2 linked regions of the Oryza sativa Japonica Group genome follow. The protein of the gene in region 1 purifies or fractionates together with the protein of each later gene. This does not show direct contact. Links are inferred from orthologs where the notes say so. Each region holds a gene or a part of one and is shown on either strand. Other genes may lie near its edges. The genes, in order: flowering time control protein FY and probable cleavage and polyadenylation specificity factor subunit 1.

Region 1 (14,901 bases):
GTATGAGCGAGCGAGTGGTTGGGTGGGGGTTAATAATAGGGAGCGGTGGCGGTTCGTTTTCCCGGTGAGCCTTCGCTGTCTTGTTCACTGCATGTAGCAGCAAAAATATTTCCTGAAACTAGTAAATGTTTCTGAAACTACAGAATGGACCTTGAAAATTCAAACGCATGTCTTTAAATATAAAATTTCATGCATGCGACGGCAATTCCTATGCAATTTGATAGATTGTCTAAGAAATCTTAAGCCTACCGTCGTTTATGAGATTCAAGTGGGCTTTAAAAAAAACAAAAACACACGCAATTTGTACACTTGATGACATGTAGACCGTTTATGGCAGACTTTATCTACTTAAACATTATATCTTTAGTATGACTAAGAGGAATTAGGATGAATATTTTATATGGTTCAGTTTTATTTGTCCCTTTTTTTCTAGTGATTTTCAAAATGACACTGTTTTACAGTGGGTGGTTTTTTTTCATTGTGGGAGAAGTGTGATTTAGGTTCTGTTTGTTTCGGTTTAAGATTATTATAATATAGATTATTGAGCCATATTACAATAAGTTGGATTATAATAAACCGACATAGAATAATCTGTTAGTTGTTTGTTTCTACTGGACTGTTGGATACTTTTGGTAAAAAAGATAGGGAAATTCTTGATTATTCAACACCGGATCGTTATTAGCTATTAGCCACCCAATAATTAAAGAAAGCACCTTTAGAGTGGATTACCATATTATAGTAATCTGGCTCATAGATTGTAATAATTATCATAATAAGTTATCTGTTTGTTTCGACTTATTTATAATAATCTAGAATATAATAATCCTAAACTGAATCAAACAAAGTCTTAAAGAGAAGGTCGACGACAACTTCATTTTTACGTTTTCAACAATAACTACAACATGGTACGTGGATATGCACGCACTTAGAAACTCATACAATAATATTAGATTATGTAAACAACTAGACATCGGTGCTAAAATTATCAAATTCAACTAGAAACCCACATGTACAATACCAGAACGAGTCTAGAGGATCTATGCCTAATGATCTTTTTTTATAGAATATATAGGAATATAAAAGCACAAAAAATCAATACACGTGCAAAAACACATATATTTAGGACGTGGGGGAAAATATAACGTGTTGTGTCTGACATAAAATTCGCCGGATATGGATTTTTTAGGCAGATATAAATCTTAATAAAACTATCACTATTGATTATGATAATTTGAAGTTATATAGCTTGATTTGCCTAGACTAGGTGAATGTTTAAATTCCCATGAAATATAGTAGAATCTCCTACGGAATCTAAAAATACAAAATTTCTCCCCTAAAAAGTAAAAACCCTTCATCCAAAGAAGCACTAGACCATTCGCATATTTGTTTAGAGAAAAACTACTTTGAGTTTGCTTTTATTTGGAGGAAGCAACAGGAGCTTTTTTTTTTTTTAGAAAGAGCGGATAATTTATTTATTACCATCCACATTTACATTCCTATTCATATTACAAGGAGGATTTGAGAACCAAAGATAACGCCCCTCCTGTAAAGTAGAAGCAAACTTAGCTAAGTTGTGAGCATCAAAATTACAAGCCCGATTTTCATGACGAAACTCTACTTTTGCAAAATGCTTCCTTTTTGCCTCAGTATCATTTAGGACTGCTAAATATTGGCACCTTGGTTTGGAAGCAACAGGAGCTAAATACACGAGAGGCCTCGCATGGGCTAAAAATCCTTGCCGTCAACGTGGATGGGCCGGCCTTGAAGGCCCATCTAAATGAGGCCAGAGTGGGCCTGTATGGCCCAAATACATCTCGCGAGGCAAGCGAGGCAGCACAGCACTCGACCACTCGCCTCACGGAGCTCACCCTCCCGCGGCGTCTCCTCGGCGGAAGAACCCCGAACCCCCGCGCCGCACGGATCCAAAACCCTAGCTCAGGTCGGCGGGGCTCGCGGCGGCGGAGATGATGCAGCAGCAGCAGCAGCCGCCGCCGCCGCCGCCTCCGCCGCAGCACCCGCCGCCGCCTCAGGCCGGGGGCGGCGGCGGCGGGGAGTTCTACCGGGGCCCGCCGCCGCAGCCGCCGATGCGGCAGCTCTCGGCGGCGTCCTCCACCAACATCCCCGGCGACTACGCCGCGCACCAGGGGCACCCCCCGCCGCAGCAGAACCAGCCGCCGTACGACGGTAACAGTGCCGCTCTTTTGGTAGTTTCGTCGCTGGCTAGGGTTAGGGGCACAGCAGCGGTATTGGTGCGCGTTCTTATGTTATCGTAATTTTGGCTCAATTCAGCTTATGGGGACAATTTCGGTGCTAAAAGGATGCGGAAGCCTGTCCAGCGGCGAACAGTGGACTACACAAGCACAGTCGTCCGTTATGTTCAAGTATAAATATAACAAACTTATTTCTCAAGCAGTTATAGTGATATATGTTTTGTTCTATTTTGTGGGAGCCTATTATACAGTTGAACTTTGCTTACTATATGCTCCTTTTACTGTGCCTGCTGCAAACATCACATGAATATGAAATGCTCATAAGTTGATTTTTCTGTGCAATAAGATCTAGCACCCTGTATTTTTCTTATTCTTCTGCTAGCACTGATCACCATTATGTATATGACATGCAGGCTCGCATGTGGCAGCGGGATGCTAGGGACAGGCCCACTGTGCAGCCGACTCCAGCTGCTGTTCTGGACGTATGTTACCTTACCCATTTGCCTTGCTTGTAACCAACATGTTAAAAGATAGTTGCCATACTGTTTTCTGTTTTTAGACTTTTATACTTCTGACGCTCACATTTCTTTTGTAATTTGGATTTCAACAAACCACTATGTACATTATATTGATGTCCTTTGCAATCTCATGATTGGGAAGATCTTGAATATTCTTGAGTCAAGGTTCTGGTTAAACGGAAATGTTATGCAGTAAAAATGATAGTCTTAGAAAAAGAAAACTATATTGTTGTATGAATGGATTGTTGTATGTGGATTAATCAAACTCCTGTTGCTATCTAGGGAGAGTGCCTATCAGATCCTGTCTTTGGTTGTTGTTTTTGGGCCATTTAGCTTGCTAATTAATGCATAAGTTTTCAGTTTTGCCACAACTATGTAAATCTGTCTGGATGTTATTTATGATATATATGTGAGATAAATCCTCCATGGTACAACGTAAAACTGAGGGTGCTCAATGGATTAAGCTGACAAAATTAGATCTTTAACTCTTCAGTCTTCAGGCAATATTTTACGTAGAACATACTTATGTCTCATTCCTTTTAATTAGCTGAGTGCTGCTATTTTGGTTAAGGGTTTTGGATTGATTACTGGGTAGTGCTGTCATCTTGGACAAAAGATGATTAAGTTTGATGAATTAATTGTTCAGTTTGGATGATTATGAAATTGTCTGTATCTACTGTATTTTGAATACATTGTCTGGTATCTGGATATCCTGATTAATGTGGGTTTTTTTTTTCAGATGTTGCCGTCTGTTGCATACCCCGATAATCCCTCAACAAGTTTTGCTGCAAAATTTGTACATTCATCAATAAACAAGAACCGATGCTCTATTAATCGGGTCTTGGTGAGTTCTATGATATCCATCTCTATGCTTTCCTAGTATCCCAACTGCTATTTTTATATTTTTCAAAGAGCTCCACTAAGCCTTGGCTAGTGCATGGTCACTGAAGGACAGCGATACCTTCAGAATGCTGAAAACTATAGAATCGATCTAACTTCTAGGTGTTCACCACCATTCACCTTATTGCTGAGCTTCCTTTTCTTCTGAAATCTAATTTTATATTTATCTGTAGGCAGCTACTCTTACCATTTTAAATCAAATATATTTGATGGTATATTATATTTTTACTTGTTTTCTACATTTTTTATGGTAGAATTAAGGATTGATGGCAGTACAACTTTAAAATGTCACTTGATAGGCTCACACACTGTTTGAAAAATGTTCCAATTTTTTTACACCAGCTAGTGCAGAGGGTTGATAACTCCATTCCAAGTATCTTTATATTGGTGTAATCTAACTGAATTCGTATATTGTGTACCACGTTGATATTATTAGGCTAAATATGATTTCTCCTTTTGTCATTTATGTGTCTAATGTATCGTTATTTGTTGATAAAGTGGACTCCCACAGGGCGTCGGCTTATTACGGGATCACAGAGTGGTGAATTCACCCTATGGAATGGCCAATCTTTTAATTTTGAAATGATCCTTCAGGTATTCTATAATTTTGCTCCAGATTTTCTAGTAATGTGTCATTGAGTTTGCTGATTTTTGGAGGAATTTGATAATAGGCTCATGACCAAGCTGTAAGATCAATGATTTGGAGTAACAATGAGAACTGGATGGTCACTGGTGATGATGGTGGTGCAATCAAGTATGTTGGCCTTTTGAATTTTTATCACTGTCAGTCTGTCACCCTGTTGGATACTGATCCTTAAGTTAACATGTTGATCTTTTCACTGACATGTCAAGTGCACGTTTTGACTTCCTTTGTAGGTATTGGCAAAGTAACATGAACAATGTTAAAGTTAATAAAACAGCTCACAGAGAATCAGTTCGTGACTTGAGGTGATGGCAGCCCCATGTGCTTTTTTCTTTACTTTACCTATACCAAGTTAATGTTCATTCTCTGTTACAATGCATCTTTTAAACAGCTTTTGTAGAACAGACCTGAAGTTTTGCTCCTGTTCTGATGACACTACTGTGAAGGTTTGGGACTTTGCAAGATGCCAGGAAGAAAGATCCTTAACTGGTAATGTTGTTGTACTTTTCTATGAGCCCGAACTACTTGATCCTCGCATGCATGAAGTTATTGCATGATATCTTATATTATTTTTACCCATCAAGTAACCTGAATTTGCCTTCATACTCAGCCAGGCCATGGTTGGGATGTTAAGAGTGTCGATTGGCACCCTACAAAATCTTTACTGGTTTCAGGTCAGTTATTATGCTTGCTAGTTTAATGAGCTTATTTGTGTAGAGCTAATTCTATTTTTTGTTATTTAGGTGGTAAAGACTATCTCGTGAAACTTTGGGATGCAAAAAGTGGTAGAGAGCTACGTTCATTGTATGTATTGTTTCATCGTTCGTATTACTTTGCTAATGTTGAAAGTCAGCAACACATCAGCACATGATGACCTGATGAGCTATATCTGCAGCCATGGTCATAAAAACATTGTACAATGTGTAAAGTGGAATCAGAATGGGAACTGGGTGTTGACTGCCTCCAAGGATCAGATTATTAAGGTCAATATTTTTTGCTTGTGTACCCTGTTCTGTTCATCCATTCTTTCTGCAAAGTGTTCTGTTTACACTGCTTAGTTTTCTCATCTATTTGACATGCTTGTGCTAGTGAGGTATACCATGGGAATGGGGGGGTTCATACTCAATGTTGATGCAAAATTTTAATGTCCCTAGGACGCATCATCAGAAAAAAAAAAACAGCTATTCAGCATGACTACTTCCTCCGTTTCACTTTATAGACGTTTTGGGTTTTAAATAGATTCATGCATGTCCAAATTCTTACAGCTAGTGAATCTAGACAAGAGATGGAGAGGCCAAAACGTCTTAAATGTGAAACAGAGGGAGTAATAATCAATTATTGAAACAAAGTTTTATTTGGTGGTTGAAACTATTGTCTAGAGAAGAATTACTGCTTTCTCCATAATTAAGTGAATTCAATATAATATTTTCTGTTTTCTTAATAAGACATTATAAGTTCCGTTTGTTTCATATCTACTAAATAAAACACACTATATTGGATAGTTTCTAACTTGCTATTGCTAATGTGTTTTATGCAGCTATATGATATTAGATCCATGAAAGAGCTTGAATCCTTCCGTGGACACAACAAGGATGTGACTGGTTAGATTCTCACTACATAATTTGAATTTTAGGTTCCCTTCCTGGAGTTTAAGATTTGATACATTTTTCATTTTTCAATCAAACAGCAGTTGTAATTTATTTGTTTCATTGCAAATCATGCATTATGGATATCAAACTACTGACTGAAATGTTGCATGGGAAATTGTCATATCCGCCACTCCCTTATTTGCCATGGTTGTTTTGAATAGATAATATACTCAATTTATTTATTTATGCAGCTTTGGCATGGCATCCATTTCATGAAGAATATTTTGTTAGCGGGAGCTATGATGGAGCGATCTTTCATTGGTTGGTTGGGTAAGACATCAGAAATGCAATTAAAATAAAAAAATTCTAGTTGGCATGGTAGTTTCTTTTCCCATTGGAACTTGGGTTTTTGTTTAACTGTGATATTGTAGTGTTAGACCACTCTGGCTTGTGTTTACGATTACTTAAGTTTACTGTGTGCTTAACCTGTCTGATGAATATATTTAGCTTTCAAGTTTCTTCTTGAACTTTTCACTTGTTACATTCTTTTAGAGGAAATACATTTTTTTGTTGGCTACAAATGACTCAATCTGACTAAATTAAAATTTCAATTGATTGGCAGCCATGAAACTCCACAGATAGAGATAAATAACGCACATGACAATAGTGTGTGGGACCTTGCCTGGCATCCTGTTGGTTATCTACTTTGCAGGTACTGCCAGAGTTACAGATACAAAATTCTGAATTTGCAGTTTAGATTTATGCTCGTCTTTTTCTTGAGTTATTTTTATTCTTCTAACCTATAATTGCAGATATGGATATGGAAACATAATTATGTTTACTTATTCCTTATTTCTGCATCTCAATGATTCTAACTGCTATTTCTGTTTCTCCTTTTATCTCATTATGCTGTGCAATGCGTCAGATTTCACTGATACAATTGTCACTTCCGTTCAGTGGGGGCAATGATCATGCTACGCGATTTTGGTGTAGAAATAGGCCTGGTGATCTTACCCGCGATAAATACAACAGCGGACAGATGCAAGGTAGCTTTTCCTTTTGTTGAGCTTCTTTCTTGGTTTATTCAACTTCTTGTTCTATTCATATTACAAAATACCACGAGTCACCACATGCCTTTGATGGATGATTAGTTAGACAATTTGATGGACATCACTTGTTCACTTACTGCACATGTCTCGGTGTTTTTTTTTATTTGGGACCAGACAAGAAATGTTTGATACATATAATAAACTGCTATTATGTTTCAGGTTACGGTGACCAACATCCTGCTTTTGCTGGCCGTGCTATGGGTGGATTCCAGATGCCTGAACCTTCAACAACACCTGGACCATTTAATACTGGATTATCACGAAATGAAGGCACAATTCCTGGCATTGGGGTCGCAATGCCTCTTGATGGATCTGATCATGGAGAGCAGAGGCCATCGATACCTGGCCTTCCACCTGGGCAACCTCCCTTGCCTCCAGGTCCCCATCCATCTCTTCTAGCCGGTGGGCAGCAACAGCAATATCAACAGATGCAGCAGCAGCATCCTCAATTTCCTCGACCACCACCTCCAAATATGCCTCAATTGCAGCCCCCAGCACACATGCTTCCACACGCGCAAGGATCTCGAGCACCACTTCCTCAGCTTCCATCAATGTCAGGTCCACCACCAGTGAATCCACCACTACCACCTATGCCTCACCCAATGGTAATTTAGTATTACCTAAACGTTCTGTTCTCTGCAAGATCTTTTGTTGCAAGTAAAGAAACGTGCTAACAACTGCTAGATTGACAGCTGATATATTGATTTTGATATTTCCACTTTGCAGGCAATGCAAGTACAAGGTTCATCAAACCAGATGATGCCTCAAATGCCACAGCACTTGATTGGCATGAATCAGACACACCAGGGCCCTCCTAGTAATATGCCTCCAATGGGTGGCTTTCCAAATGGAATGGGAAATATTCAAGGTGGATCTAGTGCTTCTGGCATGCAAAACTTTCCTATGGGAGGCATGTACAACAGGCCTCAGGGAAAAATGCCTCCACAAGCACAAGCACAGATGACATCCATCCCTGGTCTGAGCTCATATCAGGTAAAACCAGAACATTACATTTCAATGAGTTTGTTGGACCTTAAGGTGATTTTGTTATATATTTATGTTGCTCACATGCTGAGAATTATTTAGTGACGTTGCTGCTTGTTGGTCAATCTTCGCAGCCGGGTATGGGCAATGTGGGCCTTCCGCCGCCACCCCCACAGCATCCACCGCCTCGCGGTTCAGCGCCGCAATGATCTCTTGTAACTGTGCAATGATGATTGGAAGCCTTCTATTTTCCATGCGGTAAAACATATGTAGTATGATCGTATTCGAGGAAGAGAGGAGTCTCCAGCAAACGGAGACGGATATCTTGGATAATGATAGTTAGGATTGTTCTTATCTCTTGCACCGTCGGCTAGGATACATTTTGCTGCCCTTGGACTGAACGGGCTGTGCTGTAACAAACCTGTCCACCTAACAGCTTGTTTCTGCTCCCTATTTATGCTGCTCGTGTTGTATTAGTTCTTATGCTACTGAGGTTTTCAACATAGACGGAGGCTATCAAGCAGTTTTGTAACAAGTGAGAATCATTTTGCCTGGCCCAGTGAATTTGATTGGTTGACGGCGTACGCTCTATATTGTAAACACTTACACTGTTGTCAGGCAATGCTTGTCCGTGGGTTCATTTGTTAGATCCACTGATCACTTATAAGAGGAAAATTGTTTGAATTTGTAATTTTCACCGAGTAAACTGAGCCAAAGCGTGGTAATTACATGTAAAACGACTCCTTGAGCACATAAAAAGCATATGCCATTGTTATATGCGAGCTTATATCTGCCAACAGCCAAACTTCACACGAAAATTTGCCTGGTTCTTATTATGTAACAGGACTAAAACCAATACCAAGCTAGCGGTGTCACCAACACTACTATACAGAACGGATCAAAGGTTGTACCGAACTACAATCTGGAGAGAAGTTCGTCGGGCGCATCCATGGTGGCTTATAGGCGCTAATGGCATGGTCCAGGTCACCTCTCATCCCCTCAGCTTCATTAAGGTCGTCATTCTCCTTGGCAACCTTCCACGAAAATCCAAAAAGAAATAGCAAAGATTAATACGTGCTTCGCGAAAGAATGTGACACCGCTAACAAGGAAACAACTACATAAAAGGGAATTATAAAATTAATGCGATGAATGTACCTGAACCGGTCGATGAAGGAAAGTTGGAAGAAACCGAACCTTGCAGTACTCATTGAACAAAATGGTTGACACAAGCAAGGGAACCGTGGCGAATGAAGCCCCCGGTTTCGACTTCAGCATTGTAATTTGCATGAGTGTGACCGAAAGGAAGATGTAGCGATGAATATTGGGCCAATATTGTCCACAAGTATCATATGTAATCTCATATACATCTTCCATCTGTTAAAAAGATAGCAAACAAATAATCACTACATAAAATAGAAGGACCAAGGTTGGATGGCATAAAAATGGCTAGACTGAACCATATCCATCCAAGCAATCTGCTGGAGGTCACGTGTAGAAAATTTCTGTATTTTTTAAAATCTATGTAATGCTGCTTTGCAAGTAATGCAAAATTGAATAACTTTAATATGAAGCTTATTTTTAATTTATTAAGAAAAAAGTATTGCCAGCTTAAATCAACTTGAAGTCGCTAAAGAGAAACGCAAATATGAAAAGCAGCAAGTATTATGAATTAAATTTACCTGGTTGATGTACACTGCGTAACCAAGCAAAAAGTAGATAACAAGAATTGGAAGTAGAAGAGGCGCAACAACAGCATAGACCAACCCAATCAATACTGCAAGGGAAACGATGGGCACAACTCTGTAGTAAGGGAAGCCATAAAGATATGGCTGCTCACTATGTCCAATTGAATGTGCCTTGAAGAAATGCCATGTAAGCAAACCAAACTGAAGAACCTCCAAGGAAAACCCTGACATGCCGTCGGTCAAAATGTATGTGATGAAGAAATCTGACTGCAAAGCAAGCAAATGGATAAATTGAATGGCTGCTGTGGAACATAGATACAGTACAACCTTTTTTTTTCTTTGCTTTACCTGTGCAGAAACAGCACGGGCCAGACGGCTAGGTATGTCTTTTGGATGTGTAAAGGATTCTCCTATCTGGTGGAGTAGAGAACCAGAAAGAATGCTCAAAAAGAAAACATTCCCTAACAAGAAGTAAAATACCATGTTGCAGGCCTTGATTTCCTTCTGACTTTTTGCAATGCATCCCTCAAATGATGCCATGCCAAGCATCGCGAAGGGAATCAAGTAGATAAAGCCATTCAAGATCATGCTTGGAAGATACCCAGTTACGACAGAATTCAAACCTGGTCTGCAAGATGACAAAAGTATCATATAAATCAATGTTGTTATACCACGGTACTACATGCTAACATTGCCTACTGCATCACAATATATTAAAGTTTTGGCCACTAACATAAGTTCCACAGCTCTAGCCGGTGGAAACCATATTTTAATTTTCTCAAATTGTACTATCCCTTGCACAGCTGTGACAGGGATGGTGAAGAACACTATTAGCAGAAACGCAGCAATGAAGACACCAAGTTTGTATATAGCAATACGGCAGAAAGGAATAGCCAGATTTGTCCATAGTGCATCAGGTGGTTCAGGAGCATATGTTGTCACCAAGGACAGAGGATTGACATGCTGTTGCATTTCGGCAGCTTGGGCAGCATCCAGCTGTGATTTGAATGAGACAAAAGCAACCGGTAATTCCTGGAGTTGAAAGCAAAATTAGTATGTGATACAAATAATTCTCAATATAAATAGGTGCCTTCATTCTCTCTGTTTCGCAACACCAACATTGAAGATACTATTGGCACAAGCAAGTGGATTGGAGAATACATGAGAATGCAATACCTTCCGTTTAAGCATATTTTCACACTGTAGGAGGCGGATAGAGTGATGGACGTTCTTCAGTTTTTCTTCCAGTTTGCGAGTATCTATCGCTTCTAATGTCAACTTAAACCAGATCCACTTCCAAAAGTTACATCTTCTGGTTTCTCTTTTCCTCTTTATCTTGTCCTCAAGGGAGGATGCCAACTTCTGTAATGATGCAAAGGCACATTAATAGTGTAGTAATAGTCACTTAAGTATGGCACAGATTACAACTTCTACCTCAATGTATTAATTACTCACCTGAAGTGCCTTGATGTTTCCAATGTCGTGTACTATGTGATACGATTGGTATGTTCGGTAGTGCTTTGAGAAGAAGTGGTCAGCATAACACCCATAAGTTCCATGATCTGGGCATAGTGGAATTCCTCGAACTAAAATGGTATATTGGTCAGGCCGTTTCCTGTGATACTTCAAATGTGCAATTCTTCTGCTGGACATTTCTTTGTGCTCCTGGTTCAATTCAAGATGCCAGTGCCACATATGTATTGAACAGCATAGTTATGTAATAGTTGAAACGAAATCAAGAATACTTGCTTAGGAATAGGATAGTAAATAAAAAATAGCAAAATATTTTCAAATGGTGGGTGATCAAAATTTCAACATCAATTTTCACAACTGAACAGGGGAGAAAACACAACAGGATCAATTGTAAGATTGTAACAATTGGATCAATTGTAAGATTTTTATAAACACGTACCTTATGAAGCAAATACACCACATAGAATGATATGAAGCAGAGGCATGCAAAATGCACCCAAAGCCTGTTGTGACAAAGAACTAACTCAGTTAAGAGATTGGCACCATGCTGATTGCTAGGCAATACTTATCTGATGAACTTTCAACTCCTATGTACTATCATTAACACTCTGTAGTCTATCAGCTTAAACAAGATATGCCAGTGTCCCTTGTGAAAACTTGTATTGAAAGCAAAACAGCTTGCTCTATTGGAGAAAACTACTCATTTAAATTGGAAATTATAACCAGAGAGCAATTCATGAACGTTTGATTCACAAGAATGGGTTTCCTCCACTGATCTCTGAAACACTAGCATTTTCGACCTGACTACTCTGACTCTGAAGAATACCTGGAGAGGAGGGTGAAAGGAAGCTGCAGAATAGCTAACCTGTTAGAACCCCTTGCCACATTGGATACCGTGAAAAGTTCCATTGAATTTGACCTTTTGGTGTCTTGTAGACCTTCACAGGAATAATTTGTTGGTGCAAGGATGAACAATCCAACGATTGAGCAAACAGCGAAGCACTTGATCCTACATTCTTACAAAGAAATTAGTAAAATACTCCTATTGAGAGAGCAAGCAGAGTAACATTAGCAATTTTCTCAGAGTAGATGCAGATCAGTAGAACACATTCTTACCCGAATTTGAAGAGGCGGACGACGACGAGCGCGTCGAGGCCGTGGCGCCGCAGCACGTCGTCCTCGGAGAGCCGGAGCGCGGCGCGGATCCACCGGAACGACGGGGTCAACCGCCCGTGGCCGAGCGGCAGCCCGCCCCCACCGCCACCGGCGGCCATCCGCCGCGCAAGGTACACCGGCGCGTTGCCGGGCTGCTTCTTGAGCAAGGAGAAGAGCGAGAGCGCCACCAGCGCCAGGCCCAGGTTGATCGCCGCCGACGCCAGCAACCCCTCCGCGTCCATCCCCGCCGCAACCTCCGCCGCCTCGACAACCCCGCGGCGGCATCGCCTCTACCACGGAAACTAGTAGATCGCCGGTGTGCTGGCCGGAGCCGGCGACGTGGCGGCCGGAGGAGAGCCGGGGGTGAAACGTGGCGCGGCTCGAGCTCGACACGTGCGGCTCGCGCTCAAATGGCTCGGCCCACTCACCATCATGGGCCAAGGCCCATCTCACCCCGGGTCGGCTCGGCTCGGCTCGTGTTGCGACGCGGCTCGGCTTTAGCCGCGGATTTGTGTGGGCACAGAGGCGATAGGCCACCATCGGAGAAGGAGAGGTCGCCGAGGAAGAGGAGGAGGAGGGATGGCGGCGGCTGCGGCGGAGGGCGCGGCGGCGAAGGCGCTGCGGGCGGTGCTGGGGCGCGCGGCGAAGGCGGCGGAGCGGTCGGGGCGCGCGGCGGAGGCGGTGCGGGTGGTGGCGGTGGGGAAGACGAAGCCGGTGTCGATGGTGCGGGAGCTCTACGACGCCGGCCACCGCTGCTTCGGCGAGAACTACGTCCAGGAGTTCGTCACCAAGGCGCCGCAGGTTCGGAGTTTGATTTTCTTCGTGGATTTGCGGAATCCGCCATTTGGAAACGACTTGACTTGTGGCTGATTGATTCTGCCATTGTTGCAGCTTCCAGAAGATATCCGGTGGCATTTCATCGGCCACCTGCAGAGTAACAAGGTGAAATCACTGTTAGGTATGGTTAATTTCTTGACTTCTACTAGTTTTCTAACCAATTCCCATCATGCAGTATCGGTTCGTACTGAAGAACACATATCACATGGATAACCTGCCATTTTTCTTCAATATATCTATTTTAGAGAGAGGGAAAAGTAACAGTTATATAATGGTTAACTGATGATAGAGTTCACTACCTTAAAATGATGATTGGTGATGCAAAACTCCTACACTCACTGATGTTTTCGTCCAAGTGCCGATGTGCAGAATATAGTGTAGTAACAAGAACATCAATACATTCTAATAAACTCTTTTATCTCGTGATAATGTTCAAGCCGCCATCGTCTATGCTACTCCCCTGATACTTTCAAAGAAAAATGTTTCTGTAAAAAGGTTGAGATTACATTGTAACCATCATCACATTATAGATTTATAGTCCAGTATCCACTCTCCAGTGAACTGAGTTGTCAGTCTCTTCACTCGAGCTTCAAATGCATATTCTAGCATGCTTATTAGGCTAAAACACTAGTATTAACTCCTACCTTTTTTCAAAATGATGGTTGAAATGAACCTCTACGTGTCCCTCGGTAAGTGCAGCCTGTACACAGGGACTTAGGTCCATAAGGAACTAACCATTACAGGACATATGTTGCTCTGTCTTAATACCTCTTATTCTGTTCTGCAGCTGCTGTTCCAAATCTTCACATGGTTGAGGGTGTAGATAATGTAAAGGTAAGCAGCTTAAGCTCCGAACACTTTTAAGGGTTCAGTTCATTATAAATTACACCACACTAGTATATTGCAGCATGCTTATCTCTTTTTTTTTCCCAATAATGCTTTGATGCTTATCTGCTCCTTGTGATGATATTATATGGATATGCCAATTGATACATGATGTTGACATACTTTCAGATTGCTAACCACCTTGATCGTGCTGTTAGTAGCTTGGGAAGGGATCCTTTGAAAGTTTTGGTACAAGTAAACACTAGTGGAGAAGAATGTGAGTACAGAAAAAAAAAACGAAAATCTTGAAAATCCCTATCTTGAAGACCTATGGAATCTCATTTCCTGTTTAGCTTGATCTAATAGCATAGTTTTAGTTTTCTGGCATATCATTTGACATGTTTAAAGTCATCATCGGTTAAACTAATCTGACATCATTACAGTCATACCATTACATCAGAAAGTGCAGTGTAATGTATTGTATCTGACTTTCATGGTAGCAATGAATTTAACAAGGAAATATTTTCATTTATTCAGCAAAATCTGGTATTGATCCCTCCAGATGCGTCGAGCTTGCCAAGCATGTGAAGTTAGCATGCCCACACCTAATATTTTCAGGTCTCATGACAATAGGAATGAAAGACTACTCCTCAACACCAGAAAATTTTAAGGTGGGTTTCCATTATAATATCATCTCAAATGTAGCTCTGCATTTCACTTTCCATAAGATGTGTTATCTGAATACAGGCACTGGTAAATTGTAAACTTGAAGTTTGTAAGGCCATTGATATGCCGGCAGAACAGTTTGAACTCTCCATGGGAATGTCTGGTGACTTTGAGCAAGCGGTAAGAAATACTTTTCATTCATGTAATCGTGTCTATAGGTGAATATCAAATCAAAGTCACGAAATTAGGTTCAGAGTTCCCTGTTTGATCCTTTAGCTAAGCAGTTTTGATTTTCATCATTATGTT
Region 2 (16,249 bases), on another chromosome or scaffold:
CAATTTATTAAGGACTGAATTGTCATAACTTATTATGCAATGTGCATATGTTTGTGTCTTTTTGCCCTCACAAGCAGAATTGTACTGACCTGTATTGCACCTAAATAACATGAATTCACATTAAATAGAGAAGATGATTAATTCAGCAGGCATCCAGAAAGTGAATGAAAAAAAGACTTGCGTCAGTTTTTCATCATGAAGCAACAGTGCTCTGTGCCCCTGCCTAGCTCAGCATGTATTTAGAAACTGATGGCAAAAATTGACTAAAACAGTTAAACAATTTTATGCTTTAAAATGTACTCCCTCCAGATAATAATAGCTAAATTTAGCTAAACTTTTAGAGTTTGGACTGAGGTAGTATGACAAAGGTTCTCTTTTTAAGATTCCATGGCAACATATGAGCAGATTAGCTAGTAATAAAAAAAATACATTATAGTCTATATTAACACTGGCTAGCACAGGTTTCTTGTTATGATCAAAGGGAACAGTTTTCAGGTTCCCAGAACTTGAGTTTGAGAGAAACCAAATGGTGCACACATTTGACGGATATTTTGGTTTGGTGTAGTACTATTGATGATGTCATTCCTGTGGTCGAGTATGCAGTTCCTACTCCTTTTAAAAAACAGTAAGAGGGATATCACTTCAACTCAAAAGTATGGTAACTACTTTATTTTTAACTCCACACTATGTTTTTACTATGCAAAAAACATTTAGCTAAATACACAAAAAAAAAATTCATCTGTAATATCAATTGTTAAAATATCAAAATATTACTTTAATCATTTTCTCCACATTTTTTTGGTTGTTTTACTGTTCTGGCTGGGGAAATATTTTCTGGTCAGGAAAACATGTCATTTTAAAAATCCAGTCAGAAAAATGTAACTTTAACCACTAATGTATAACCCCAATAAATTTTAATATTATGAAACTAATTTTCAAGACAAATACACACATGAATTTTATGTTCCCCAACTAGATATTATAGAAGATATTGATGATGACATGACGTACATCCAAAACAACTTTTCATGACCTGATGGAACACTATATAATTAATGTTATGTTTGTAACATGCAATAAGAACAGTTAGTGGCTGTGTCGTACATCTTTGTTATGAGAAAAGAAGTTGTAGTCAGTACAATGCATGAACACTGGAAAATCCAAAGTCCCAGCTGGCTCATAGGCATTAAGCTCCAATTATACTAACCTCCACAATAGAAGTCAGGGTTGGCTCAAAACTCCAAAGCTAAAACATCAGGTAAGGCCAGATTCAGGGAACCACTATTTACATAGCCTTGTGTATGAAGAAACAATTAATGCATTATTTCTTTCTATTTAATTGTTCCTATCAGCATTATGCATGGACTTTCGAGGAAAAATGATGCCTAGAGAACAGAAAACAGGAACTAAACCAAAAGTTACGTGCTCAAAACCTAAAAGCATATTAATTGAACCAAAAGCTATTCAATACTCACAATGTTCAGGCTCACAACATGCAAAGGGGCATCATAGAATGCAACAGCAGTCAATTCAGCACCAGTCCACTTGTTTAATGTGATCTTAGGACCAGAAGCTATCAGCAGATGACCTTGAAGAGACGCAACAGCTGATACAGCACCTTTACTCTCTTTTGAGTAGACTTCAGTGACCTGCAATTAGTGTTTACATGTTATCAAATCAATCGATACGTAACGGAAGTAATAACCTTTTTCCCAATTGCAATAATGCTCCCTCACAGTACCAGATTTTGAGAATTTTCACTTTTCGTGAAAGAGAACAGAAGCACACGTCCTCTAGCAGCTACATCCTCCCCAAGAACATAAGCAGTCCCAATGGCCAACAGGGTCTCATTTTCCTTGGTGGTTGTATTCTGAAGTAAAAATGCATAACTGTTCAGTGAATAATATAATTAAACCTACAGACATGTGTACCTTTGATCATTAAATTTTCAAACAAGATAAATCTCAAGCATAGAAATGACATGGCAACCATGCATTTGGAAGAAAAGAAGATAGAAAAAGGAAGTAATGATGACTTTATTATAGCTGACAGTTTATGCTAACAGCTCCATAATTGAATTATAAAGGGTCAAATATAGAGTATAGAGGGCATTTAGTTTGCAAAAATGTGCTTGTGGGTTGCTAAAATATGGTGTCTTCAACCAGACAGGTTCACTTGGTTTGTCACAGAAGTTCATATAGTTTGGTTTCAAGTGGGAATGAGAAAAGACGCATACATGTAATGTAACAATGCGCACGGTTAGAGCATTTTCAAACAATTGCATTGGAATTGTGGACTTCGTCTCCCAATGTCCACCAGGTTTCTCCAGCTCCAAAATGCGGACCTCAAATTCATCAACAGTATATGTCTTATGAAGGGCATCAGTGCTTGTAACATCGTTATCCATGTGATGAACTGATTCTTGATCAGCCATAGAAGAAAGAACTTGATTTAGGGGACGAACTACCTGCAGGACCAAAATGAGAATATTGTACTAGATAGTTGTACATAGGAAGAAGTCCAAATACCCTGAACTTTATAACTGGACATCCACCCCCCCCCCCCCCCCCCCGTCCCCAAAAAAAAAAAAAAAAAAAAAAAACTTTGCAATACCATTCGTATTACCCCCTAGGGTAGTTTGCACATTTGGAAGCTTAAATGAGCAGCTTTGAATAACTGATACAACATATTTACATATCATTAATAGTAGGTCATAAATTTCTTCTTACATAGTGATGTGACACTTTCACAATGTTGTTGCAGCGAATAAGGGAGTGAAAAAAAAGTTTTGCATGGAGATTTTTAACATATATATGTCTAATACGTATGTCATGTGATCAAACTCATCCAACATACATGCAAATTAGATGAAAAACCACTTTGCAAAATCACCTTAGGGGGTTGTATAAACTGTATTGTTTAGTTTGGGGGTTTGAACGTCCGGTTTTAAAGTTCAATATGCTAGATGGACTCTCAATCAAAGTTTAGGTGGCGGAGGGTGTTATTTGGACTTTATGTGTTGAACATATTCGAAAATGCCTCAAAAACATAATTAGATGCCAATGATAAATTATGTTAGAATTGCAGTAATAACATATACTAATACTTACAGGAACAGACACTATTAGGGGATAAAGAGATTGCTCTGCATAATACGTGACCTGATGTGGGGTGCCATGCAAAGGGACCTGCAAAGATGCAACATGGTCAGGTTTTCAAGGATGAGAAGGCTTCAGAGTAATTCAGTTTATTCCCTGAACTCTGGCTCATCCTGAACTACATAACCAGGTTCCTAACCCCCTAAACTTGCGGAATAAGAGCAGTTTGGATGGCCCAAGATTTTAGTTTCAAATTCCCTCCCTATACACGTGAATGGATTGGGATTGAGTCCCATCTAAGCAAGGACTGAGGTAATTCCTGAGGCGATTTTTCCCCCATGGCAATGGCATATTGGTGTTGCTCAGATTCACTTCAACATGATGGCATGGACCTGAATGGTTTTTAATTTGAACTGAACAAACAAATAAAGAAAGAAAGAAATGTCAATGTCAAAACTATTGTTGAACAGGGGCAAAGGGACAAGTTTTACCATGTCTTTAAGGAGATTTATCTAGTTAATTAAACCAAGTCAGAGTTGTGGAACAGGATACGTTTCCGAAGATACAAATAGCATACTAAATCTCGATGTCTCCTCCTGACAAACCACAACAATATCTATAGCCAAAGGTTGTAATAGTCAACAAGGACACACAAGGATGACTGGGTTGCAACACTCCTATTTTCAACAACAAGGGGTAGCAAGCATGAGTGGGGAACCAAGCATCAATAATGATAGGTTGAGGAGCAACCATCCGAACCTCAACCATATCCCACATGATTTTGTGATTCTCACAAAATTGAGTTGTTAAAATGCATAATTCTAATACCCCGCACACATGGTCCGCCTACTCCAACCTCCACATTATGAATTGCAAACAGTCACTCAATTATAGTGGCATCAGTGCAGCAGATGTTGATTCTGCAGCAGCACCATTTGAAGGATTGCAAGGTGTTCAAATAAGAAAGAACTTGTTAGCTCCAGAACTAGTTGTTTTGGCTTATATGAATGTGCATGTGATAGGCTTGTAAGAAGCAAGGTAGTGGGCACATTGGGTGCACATCTTGAGGGATTGTTTGCTACAAGTTTGGAATCTAGGGTAGAATGCTGACTGACCCATTTTTTGTTCAGGAGTTACAGTGAGGTACCTTTTGAACAGGCCAGTAGCTGTCATAGTTATATGCTGAGGGCAATTGGCATATCTTCAGAAAACCCTACAACCAAAAAAGAAGTGTATCCCTGAATCTCAAACTTTTAGTAAAACTATCTGACAACAATGCACAAACAACTAACCTGTGATGTAACATATATAAAGCCATGAGAACAATTTACATTATGCAGAACAGTAAAGGCTTCAATGGGACCGTCACATAACTGCAAAATAGTAAATGCTTCAGTTTGGTCATTTTAAAATGTCAAACTGGAATAAAAATCAAAAAATCAAGACAAGGAGCAAAAGTGGTCAAATGCAAGAACATTGAGAACTTGAGCATTGCATTTACATACCTGTGGGTGCACCCGCAATCGTTGTCGACAAACCATAACCCAAGCTGGCCTCGTGCCACTAAGAAATAATCCCTCATAGCCACCAACATTGTTAAAGGTTGTTATTCTTGGTCGTCCAAGAGTTGGTATGTCTTCTCGTGATGTTATATCTATAGAAACCCGGTGAAATCTGAGATTTCTGAGCCTGGAATCACTGGCATTGTGATGATCAGCAGAACCTTGAGGTGACAATGGAACCCTTTTCACATTGCTCTCCGAGGCTTCATAAGAGAAGGCATGGTAACACAACAATGTGCCATCATTCAATAGTCCAAAAAGGAAGGGTCTACTGAATTGACCAGACCATCTATGCATTGCAAGCTCAACTATCCGAATGCTATCTCCTGCTTCTTTCTTTAGGGAAGCTTTAGTGCAATCATATCTTTCTTTCGTGCTATCCTCATATATGAGCTGAGAAAATTTATCAACCAAAAGAGCCTCGCCAGAAATAAAATTTTCCACAGAGAAAACACATCGGAAACTAGGCACTTCAAAAATTTCCAGTTTACCGCTTTCATAGCAAATGATACAATATATATCAGATTGATCATGAGATGAAGTACCATTGCCATCAATTGCCTCCGCAATACCAGTAGATAACCATGCATCACTACGTGTCTTTGTCAGCCATGGTTCAGGACCTCTGTCACGATAAAGTGTACAGGCAGCGATTCGCTCACTTGAGCTAATAAATATACTGGGAGCATTCACAGAAAGAGTACAAGTACAATAATCTGCACGACGAAACAAAAAAGACATGTATTTAATTATTTCAGTAATTGGTGATGTGCAATTAAGATGACATATACAACTCGTCTAGCTGGCCATATCAAATTTACTTCCAAAAGCCTTTCCTAAACCTAATCCATCCAAATCTCACACAAGTTCATAGGCTAGAACTGAAATAAGAATCAGTCCCAATAGTTAAAACACAGTTCTATGCACCAGCTTAGTCCTAAACATACAAAGCACCAGATTGCTAACTTCTATCTTCATCTATCAGGAAATCATCACATGTCTGTGTCCTCTAAAGCCATATGAAAGCAAAATAGGTATTGCACTTCACCATCATATGCTTATTTGATCTCTACTTCCTCAAAAGGATTCTTTTTTTTTCTAGCATTACTTCCTCCAAACTACTTGACAATATGACAAATTGCATGCGATAAGTATATACTGGTGGACTAGAATTTTGAAGTTTGACCGAAGTTTGGACAAATAAAAAACAAATAACAACGAAAGCAATTCGTGTTTGACTAATGGATATGCATTACCTCCTATAAGAAGTTGAACAGATCCATCAACCATCTTCAAAAGAACATATGGATCTGCAATGGAAGCGCATGCCACACCGAGAGCCTCTGAACTAGATGATTCTGAAGCATGCGTAGTAAAGTTTAGCTCCTGTGTCATGAAAGAACCATCAAGCACACGAGCACCCTTACCATATACCTGTATGACACGCCGCCTGCAAAAAAAAACAGAAAAAAGACTCAACAATAATGAAATAATAGAAATTGCTAAATTTCCTGCATTATAACCTGAGTATCACATATCAGTTATATAGATACATAAGACAGTGATACACAATTTTCAAAATAAAAGGAGGGGCAAGATTTGAGTACATATATGTTAAAATATAATTGCAGCATGATATATGTTATGCCGCATACAAGAAGGCGCAGAAGATCCATTATGCCATCATAAGAAAAGGAAAAGGTAAAGGAGGAAAGAGATAGGGCACTTTTGCCCATTGTATCGACCAACAGGCATGTTATGCCCTTGCAGCCCAATCAACCCACCAGCACAGCAATAGAGGCTGCTTGACCTAACCCCTCTTTCATGTGCATGAAGCACCACGACCACCTCTCTTCTTCCTCTTGATTTTCACTTTAGGATACTCATCAAACTCCAGCTTCAACTGTCCATCCAGTGTGACATCCCCTCATTACTGCCCAGAATCAGCTTCATCCCCTGCTGTTCACAGGCATGACGCAAAGACATCGCGAAAAGCAGCGAGGAGAGGATTCCCTTGCTATGGAAGAAGCAGGACAGGAATGTGTATTGAAAAACGTATCACACAATGTATTAGTGAATTACCACTAATTGTTCTCATTATTTTCGAAATTTAACCAACACTTTGGCAATACACTGTATTGCTGGCTTGCTGCATCATTATGTATGTATCACATACAGGTAAGGCAGTTGGCTGGCGTACCAGTGAACCTTTAGATTTTTAACATCTTCAAATCTTCATTCATGTTTTATGAAAGCCGTCAGATGATGTGAAATGTAGGAAAACAAATTATGGAAGAGCACTAAACATACACATTCATTAGACGCACACATGAGAAGAGATAGTTGGAGTAATGTCATGACAAATTAGACATACCCTGAAACCCAGGTTGCTCAATCCACATGAGATAGTTGTCATAACTATAAGACATATGCAAAATCTATCTGTTCCACAGCAGATAATGCCAAACTACTATTTACATAATTGATATAAATTACAGAAATATTAGCAGTTGTATACCTCCCAAACAAGTTGCCAGCAGCAATGGTGCTTGCTTGAACAAAGTAATCAACAGTTTCTGTAACCTCTCCTAAGTCATCACCTGTCTCAAGTACCTTTCACAACACAATTATCAAATGGTTAGCCATCATTCCATCAAAAGTAAAGGGGAGGATCGATTCCAATCATAAGTTAAATAGCAAAACCATGTGTCAGCTGAATAAAATATTCAGAACATTGAAAAACACACCACATGGCATGACATGGTTTAGGAACACTCGCACAAACAAATAAAAAGAAGTGAAAGAAACAACATACACATAATGCAGGTCAAACCAGTACAGATATTGCTTGGGACAGGGAATAAATAGGTTTGCTTTTAATACTGATATTCACATTGCATGCAACCATTTTGGTGTAAAATTATTAAAAAAACCTTGCATACAGGTATACACCCATTTTCCGATCCATTTGGAAGGTAATGTTCACATGAAGCAACAATTGTGTTTCAAGAAGCTGAGAAATAAGTTTCCTAGAAGAGACAACAAACCGGACCATAGTTAACCACTCAGCACTTAATCAACTATTCCTGTGTCATGATTTTGTTCCAAAACCAACTCCACATAAAGCGAAAACATATACAGTACAAATCTGAACCATTATTTTATGGGGGAATGTTGTGGGAAATATTAGCTGAAAAGCATCAATTTAGTAAAATCATGAGAACCACTCCACAAACTATGTAGGGGAGATAAACAGGCAAAAATAGTACCAAGAAAAAATATATTTGGCCGTTCACTACTCTTTGCCTGATTATCCTCACTACTATTTGACATCACCTTCCCTACACCCCAACCTATTTCTCATCTCTAGCAGCCAGTAGACAGACTGCCTGGCAATCCTTTTGATCCCTGCCCATAACAGTATCCTCAATTATTATAACAGTTGGGGCATTAGAAATTTCCAAAGTTTCTAAAATAACTCTGTGTGGAACACGTTAAGTCACATGTACTTCCAGAAAACTTGCAATCGTATGGAATGACATTTAGCCATTTAGGACATGAGATAGAAATAGGAGGCTGAAAGCATATATTTTGGTCCCATTTATCCTTTTTATGTCCTCCCACATATAGCAATCTATACTCCTTATAAAAGGTAGTAGTGGTGATGTTCTTCTGCCACCAACCCCACCACCAACTCCCAATTTTCTTTTAGAGGAAAAATGGCATGTGGGGCTAGAGGACCCACATGTCAACCACTTCCACCAACTCTCTACTTTTTATAGGAAGGAAAAAGGATAGTGTGGGACTAAAGGGTCCACATGTCAATAACAAATATATACAGCAATTAAGAGATGGTAATAACAGGTTAATGATAATTTCCTTTAATTAATTAAAATCCAGTTGCAACGCATGGGCAATATGCTAGTATTCATTAAATTGTTTAGGATTTCTTGGATCATCTTATTATTGTTTAATTGTCATATACCATACCTAAAAAGGAACCAATGCAGGTTTCCTGGGACAACATTATAAGCATATCAGTTCACCACAACCAATGAGAGTACGCATCACCATACCCATGGGAAGGAGCATACATCAAACAGTAAAACAAAAAAAAAAAAGGTTTTACCATTGTCCGATTCTCCAGACTTATTATCAGATATGCATGATATTCATTATCTTCTGCCATTTGTCCACGGTAACTCTTATAGTAAACTGTCCAAATACCTCTGCAACTTGGTAATTCCACCTACAGAAGTTAAGAACAATGTAACTGAGTAAAAATAAAAGTATTCCACGAAGTACCTAAAAGTAATGACAAAATAAATGCATACTTGGTGTTGACCAATAGATGCAAAAGATGGACTGCTTTGTTGGAGATTTTCAAAAGGCATCAATGGCATTTTCAGTTTGGTTGAGCCATCAAGATATGATCCAGTGACAACAACCTTCTATTTCATGTGTGGTTACTATTTTACATGGGCCATAAAGTTTACTTAATTATGAACAGCCCACGCAAAACTAGCACCATATAAACAAACAAAATGTAAAATACAACAGCAAATCTTTCATATTAGACTCAGGATAACTGGTTTCACAGCAATATTGCTGACAACACGAGACTCAGCATACAACAGCAAATCTTTCACAGCAAAAACCACCATGTGTTCCATACTAAATCATGTTTCACCACCAGCATTAATATGTTAAGTGAAACATTTATTGCCCCAGCCTTACTAATATACTGAATGGCCCAATCTGATCCATCCCATGCTTAAAGTAGAAACGGTAATTATGACCCAAATGATCTGCATGCATCATGGAACTAATGTGTGCTCATCAGCTATTGTAAAGCCAACAAAATCAAAGATCTCGGATGAACGAGCAAGCTAATAATAAAACAAACTGATAAAGAATTTGCAACTTCCCAAAAAGATTGCAAGTACTCAAAATACCAATGGTAAATGAAAAAATATTTACCTCAGTAATTAAATCAGGACGGATAGATTGTTGAAGGACAGAAAGTGAACCATTTTTACCATGACCAGAACAGCACACCTGAAATAAGCTTATATTGTTTAGAAAAATGAGTAGCCCAAATCAAGGATAAATTACATACAGCAGTACTTAATTAAAGGAAAAAATGGTAATAATATGCCACAATCAAGGTTTACAGTTTAGAAATATGCCATTCGCATGCCTCATCCTTCCCTACTGCTGCACCTTACTCCCATGATCTCCACAGATCCAACAGATGCTATCTTGATGGTGCACTGCTGCTACCAATGGGTTCCAACATTGCTGCGGAAAGCAATGAAAAGACAAATGATGGGGTGGTGCATTGTGGATTGCAACGTTCAGATGTGAGAAGGCAGTGCCAATGCTCATCAATGTTTACAATGCTGACACTAGCACTGGTGAACCTTGCGGAGGCTATGTCAATGTCAAGTGTGCTGTTGGGTTGCGCTAGTGCCTAGGAGGCCTGCGTTGGAGAAACTAAGAAAAGTAGGTCAGTGGAAGGACAATGATGCTGGCTGGACCTGGTATCAAAAGAGATAACTCCACGGATTTTTCTAGAGCTTATCAGCAGCCAAGGACGCCATGACTGCTCGTTACTCATTCAGTTGGCACCCGCCTTCTCTGGAACACCACTAGTTGGTCAATGGCAGCCATGGAGTGGGTGGAGATGGGAAAGGACGAAAGAATAATGGGGTTAAATCAGTCCATTTGCCTCCATATTGCAATGGCATATTCCCAATCCACAATTCTCAGCAACATTTTTGTAAACTGCATGCTTTGAAGTGGAATATATATATACTATCCTTTATTAAATCAGGATAAATAGATTATTGCATTCCTTTAATTGTTGCACTGAATTGACAGATATGTGAAAGGTGATAAAAAAAGTAAAATGTTAAGATCGAATATCGTCAACATAATAATTAGCACATATTCATGCAGATTATTCAATAGCATACATTATGGACCATTGATGTTAACACCTCAATTGATTACAGATGGCACATTGTTCCTAATTATGTTTATTCAGTCATGTACTATGTATAAATATAAACTCATCAGAGTTCCAGTTAGCAATTTACCCATTCTGGTAAACATTCAGTTTATTGTCTTAATCTTTTCATTATCTTGTATTTAATTCCTTGACTTGAGAACAACTAATCTTCAAAACCTAGCTAGTACTAATATCAGAAACTTTTGGAATTTTCAACAACCAGCTGTAACCTGCTGCTTACAGGTAGGATTTGAAACCTTGGTTTGCCATACTAAAGATAAAAAAAACAAACCACATATGCACATCCAACAATAGTAGCTAAATCAACCATAGAACTGATTGACAAAGACCCAACAGTAATAAAAGATCAAAAGTAAAGATTGCCATGCCACTGACCAACTCGTAATTGCTTTGCTTCGCATTTCCCATTGCATTGGGATCTGCATTGGCTCTTAAACCATATGAAAAATCTTTCAGTGGACCAACATTGATCAATGCATCTCTCACAATGTATGATATCTTCTGCAAAGAAAAAGCCAGTGAATTATATAGTCAGAATATAATGAGAAGCAACTGTGATATTTTTTAAGAGAATAAGTAATATAGTTCGTGATTGGAAATGGTAGCCAAAAAGAAATAGTAAACAACTATATACAAGATGAAGACCCTTTGTTAATTGAAAAAGATAATGGAATTGTGCATTGTACAGGAAGGATAAACGTCACTGTATAATCAATCCACATAACCAATAAATGAGTAAGATTGTGCGCTTTTCTTCTTTTATCTCAACTTTCTTATATTAGCAAATATTGACTAACCAAGTTTGAAGGATTATGTTTGGCACAACCTTTTCTCCGCTAGTAGGTCCCACATATCAAAATTGGGGACACTGGTGATGAGGTGGTGGCAGATTCACCACCACCACTTGCTCTTTTTAAAGGAGTACAGATAATTAGAACATATGATTCTGGAACCACAGGTAGCTAGCATACAGTTGAAACCCTGAAAGTAATACTCAGACCTGTGCTGATTCTAAACTGTTTGGTGCAATGATATTCTGAAAGGAAAGTTCCTCAACACTGGTCACATCTTGTAGAACATCAGAAGGAATCCTCTTTAGGCGCTTGGAGAAAGGCAGATCACCTTCAATATCAGCAGAGCGCTACAAAAGTAGATTGCTATATCATTAGTCACCAATGCTTTCAAGGGACAGCCATAGCTCACCTTATACGTGGTATTTTTCAAAGGCTCAACGCTACATGCAACAAAAATAACCATCCATGTTATGTACATATTTTACTATTATTCTATAGCGATACTAGTATTAATTAAAAGTATAATTTAATATTGTGTAGAAGTACATTTTATGGTTAATTAACTAAATGTATCTTTAGATGCTTTAACAAAAATATACAATGGTGTGAGGTGTGTAGGGGGGAAGGGGGGCATCTCATAACAAATCTTATGTGCCACTAATATACACACGGTGTCAGGTCAGCATAAAGACGTAATGTTTCGAACCAGGGGGTAAAGCAGATGTATTTGAGAGTTTAAGATCGTAAAATGTCTTAACTCGAAGGTTCAGGGTTGATTTCTGGACTTCTGTCAAAAGTCTAGCCTTGAAAATGAACCTTATATTCATTGAATGCCCTAAATGATGATACCATCGAACAAGCATAGAGAGGTGGTAGTAGCAGAGGAAGAGAAGAAAAGGCAGTGGATGGAAGATGAATTTGCCAAGGCTTGTACTCCTTCCGTTCCCAATTGATCATCATATTACAGGAGTGCACCCAAACCAATAAAAGCTAATAACTATCATGTACTACATTTAATCTAGTAACAAACTCTGATGCATGCACCATCCCCACTATTTCCTAGCCAATAACAAACCAAGACATTGCATGTTGGTTGTAAAGGGTTGTGTGCATGGACGCATGCATCAATGTACATTTACTCCTATGCACACATAACAAATAGACCTTGGAATAAATACTACTAATATGATGATCATTTGGGAATGGAGGAAATAACCTTTAATGATCTCTAACGAGTGGCCAGTTCTTTTTTTTTCTCAAATACGCAAGAGCTGTGTATCATTGCATAAATAGAAGAAGAAAGGTGTCCAAACACGCAAAAAAAACAGAAAAAAGTACAAGAACTCACGCCACCACAAAAACAAGCCACCACAAGGCAGTAAAATGACCCTGGTTGCCAGTTCTCAAGTATCACGTTGGTCTAAAAAATCCTAAAAACCAACCCAATAACCATTTCTACTGATCTGCCAACAGAAAAACTATATGGCAAGTTGAGAAACATAAGAGGCATAGTTGTTAAACCTGGACCGGCCATCAAACCAGTGAGCCCATCAGTTCACAGTTCATTGGCAGGACCGTTGGTTAAATAACATTTTTTTACTTTTTGTTGTTTTGGTTGACTCCAAGGAAAAAAATCGAGTGCTTCTCCTTGTGAAATCAACAATGTGGCTTGCTCAGTTGGTTTACTAGGTACATGGGCAAGCCAGTGATCACGGGATCGATCCCTCCTCCCACGCATGGAGTTTGATTTTTCTTGAAAAAAGTATAGCCGGCCAGAGACTGCTCCAGGTTTTTAGCCAGTTTTATACAAAACTGGGCAGTATAACCAGTTTCTACCGATTCATGTGCATCCCCAGTCTTTTAATCAAATCAGATCACACCTCAGTCCGGTCCGGTTTTAATAACTATGATAAGAGGCATTTGGAACATAAAATTGAGGTGCCAATAGAATGACTTGACAGTGAGTGCCATAGATGTGGCATCATCTGTTTGACAGGAGGATCAATAATGCAAGCTGCAAACAATGGTGTAAACAATCGGACACTAGCAGATGGATCACCGGGCACCGGCACAAAGTAGCAGCACCCATATGGTTATGCTGCCATGGTCATGCTTCAACACCATGAGAAGAATTAGAACTAATATTGCATTCAAGCTCAGTTCAAAAAAATCATTGCATTCAAGCCCAATGGTGAATTATTGGGTTCAAATTTTCAAAACCACAAGTACAGAAATATTGCATCTCTAGTTACATGTTTTCTATAATGACAGTAAAAAAGAACTCATTTCAGGTGTTGTTCCAAAAATATAGGTATCCGACATGTAGTGAAATGTTTTACTTCAAAGATAAAAAGTAAATCAACACAGATATCTCAGTACACACCTCATTTGTTAAATCTTGCAAAACAGATTTTGATGCACAGTAGGAAAATTGCACAAGAAGGCTATCCCCCAGACGACTACCAAGGAAGAAGAATGAGTTTCCAATAGATGTCACAGCCTGTCCATAAATAGGTTAGTAAACTTAAAAAAGAGCAATATCTAAAAAAGGAAGCATATAAGCACAGAAGTACATAGGTAACCAACCGAACTGAGGACAGATGCTTTTGATTTCATAAGATCTAATCTCTGCACAACTCTGTAAAAAGAATAAAAGAACATGTAATGATCAACTCTGAACAACAGTAGCACAGACAATAGGACAATGAACCATAGAATTATCATACCGCCCATCATAAACCACTGTAAGTAACAGCATCTCTCCAGCCTTTGTCGAGAACATTACAATGTCATTGGACAACCAAGTTGCTTTAGCTGCATCAAGCTCAACTTGGAAATTTGACTTAGAAATTTCTGGGCTGCAAAGCCAGCAAAAGAACAGAAGGTTACCAGCATACAAATCTACTGAAAAAGAAAGAAGCTAAGCAATATCAATACGGTATAGACTACAGAACTTAAGAATAATCAACTATTCAATATTGATAGGTATAACACTGCTGCCGGAGTAGTATATGTGCCATATTTCGCAGGTTTTCTATATCTTTTTGGATCAACCCACTATTTTCATGTAAGATTTGCTCTCAGCAAGAAAAGCATGCCAGTACAGTAGATTTGACTACCTTTTTACAACCAAATAAGTACAATGAGGTGTGTTATGCACACCCAATCACCCATAATCAACAGCAAGCACCTTCTAGTAATTTCACCTTACGAATTACTCAGTTCACATGTTTACCAGTACATCAAGATGGGCTCAAATGCTGTGCTAATGTCTCAGTTAACACCTTTAGTAATAATGGATTTAAAAGTATGTAGCTTCAAACATAATCTTCCAAAAAAATTAAATAATTAGGTTGCTAGGACCTAGGGGAAGTTCAAGATGGTTATTTTAATCTTATTTTCTATGGACAACCATATAAGAAGAGACCACACTACACGTCTTGAGCTTATCACTTTTAAATCAGGTATCCACATTGGTGATCTTGGTATGTGATTGTGATGGTACTGCACCACTGATATGTGTGTAGCCGTGTAGTAGTTAAGCAGAAACAGGGCCCATTTGTATGTGATCCGAGAAAAAGAACAAACTATCGTAATCCAATTAGTACTTTGCATTTAACATATACAAACAGTACCTGCCATCAGGGTGTGATGAGAAATTGTTCAGGTCAAGAGAACACGATGTGGACTACAATAACAAAGAGAACTTCAAATCAATGATCCACGTTCAGCAAATCAAAATAAAGTATGTGCCTTCACCACGAGTATTTAAAGGGATCAAACCTGACTATGGTAATGGATGGAATTTGCACAGATCACAAGAACACCACTAATAGGGGGAGGCACTGCAAGAAGTTGGTATGCATCGTGGGGCAGATTCTGAAAGGAACAAACACTTTGTAATGGTAAGTATATTATTTTGTAATGGCAAGAAGTTATATATAGAGTCAAATAAATCCAGTGCTTAAACGCAATGGAATCCCTAAAATATGTAATACAATTGAGCAATCAACAAGAAAAAAAAAAAGGATTCGCGATCATAGTATGTCAACTTTGATCTATGGACAGAAATGATAGCACCACTAAAATCAATACCATTCACCTCAATGCGGTATTGCTGACCTAAAATGAGGGACTTGAATACTAGGATTAGTCCTGAAATAGAGCAAAATTTGATAACTTATCTAAATTCGGAACATTTACCAATCACAGATAAACCTACCGTGTTCTATGCAAAAGAAATAAGTAATTATTTAGTGAATACCACAAGCCACCTTAGTACATTCTAGTACTCTGAACGCCAAAATTTATTGCCGAAAGAACATAGGAATAAGCTACCAAAGACAGAAAAGACAATGCTTAGGAGCAATCTTGTACACTTACAGCTGCAGACCATATCACTGGATGTTGCTTTAGAGTCATGCTGATGCTAAATGCAGATATCATGCATGTATGGTGCTTTGATAAGATACGCCCAGCCCATGTAGGCTCTTGCTCATGAAGTATGACCAACACAGGCTCAATATAACCTAAAGAAATCATAAATGGAAAACAGCATGAATAGCAAGGTTTCACATTTGGATAGTTGTAGCACTAGTGATGAATATATAAATGGAATGCAAAAGGAGACTCCTCATGATATGCAGATCCAGCACCAGTATCAATTTCCACTATGTCTGAGACTTTATTTTGTCACAGGAAGGAAATATCTCCTACAACAAAATCATGTGTCAAACTGTAAATTAAATACTAAACTTACAG

Evidence for each region.
Region 2: the proteins of flowering time control protein FY (region 1) and probable cleavage and polyadenylation specificity factor subunit 1 fractionate together in Arabidopsis thaliana (co-fractionation; 3 studies listed by BioGRID, with this or other methods). This does not show direct contact. The link is inferred for Oryza sativa Japonica Group from reciprocal best matches to the Arabidopsis thaliana genes FY and CPSF160.

What each region holds. Positions count from the first base shown.
Region 1 is NC_089035.1:42,519,627-42,534,527, reverse strand, and holds flowering time control protein FY, read left to right. Parts: upstream 1-1,840; 5' UTR 1,841-1,964; coding exon 1,965-2,184; intron 2,185-2,289; coding exon 2,290-2,381; intron 2,382-2,623; coding exon 2,624-2,692; intron 2,693-3,467; coding exon 3,468-3,572; intron 3,573-4,126; coding exon 4,127-4,222; intron 4,223-4,299; coding exon 4,300-4,382; intron 4,383-4,504; coding exon 4,505-4,576; intron 4,577-4,662; coding exon 4,663-4,760; intron 4,761-4,885; coding exon 4,886-4,945; intron 4,946-5,014; coding exon 5,015-5,075; intron 5,076-5,166; coding exon 5,167-5,254; intron 5,255-5,808; coding exon 5,809-5,872; intron 5,873-6,111; coding exon 6,112-6,190; intron 6,191-6,482; coding exon 6,483-6,572; intron 6,573-6,817; coding exon 6,818-6,906; intron 6,907-7,128; coding exon 7,129-7,574; intron 7,575-7,695; coding exon 7,696-7,962; intron 7,963-8,087; coding exon 8,088-8,162; 3' UTR 8,163-8,644; downstream 8,645-14,901. Other genes in the region: CSC1-like protein At3g54510, read right to left, coding at 8,838-8,987, 9,110-9,328, 9,634-9,906, 9,988-10,267, 10,373-10,671, 10,816-11,001, 11,095-11,304, 11,552-11,615 and 2 more; uncharacterized protein, read left to right, coding at 12,847-13,068, 13,159-13,225, 13,892-13,938, 14,119-14,206, 14,467-14,600, 14,677-14,775.
Region 2 is NC_089038.1:10,091,823-10,108,071, forward strand, and holds part of probable cleavage and polyadenylation specificity factor subunit 1, read right to left. Parts: intron 16,018-16,249; coding exon 15,872-16,017; intron 15,368-15,871; coding exon 15,272-15,367; intron 15,177-15,271; coding exon 15,124-15,176; intron 14,347-15,123; coding exon 14,215-14,346; intron 14,127-14,214; coding exon 14,075-14,126; intron 13,989-14,074; coding exon 13,872-13,988; intron 11,836-13,871; coding exon 11,695-11,835; intron 11,196-11,694; coding exon 11,070-11,195; intron 9,719-11,069; coding exon 9,641-9,718; intron 8,910-9,640; coding exon 8,790-8,909; intron 7,274-8,789; coding exon 7,179-7,273; intron 6,111-7,178; coding exon 5,917-6,110; intron 5,377-5,916; coding exon 4,604-5,376; intron 4,472-4,603; coding exon 4,391-4,471; intron 4,312-4,390; coding exon 4,246-4,311; intron 3,189-4,245; coding exon 3,111-3,188; intron 2,468-3,110; coding exon 2,237-2,467; intron 1,871-2,236; coding exon 1,742-1,870; intron 1,650-1,741; coding exon 1,476-1,649; intron 1-1,475. UniProt on the Arabidopsis thaliana protein: CPSF plays a key role in pre-mRNA 3'-end formation, recognizing the AAUAAA signal sequence and interacting with poly(A)polymerase and other factors to bring about cleavage and poly(A) addition.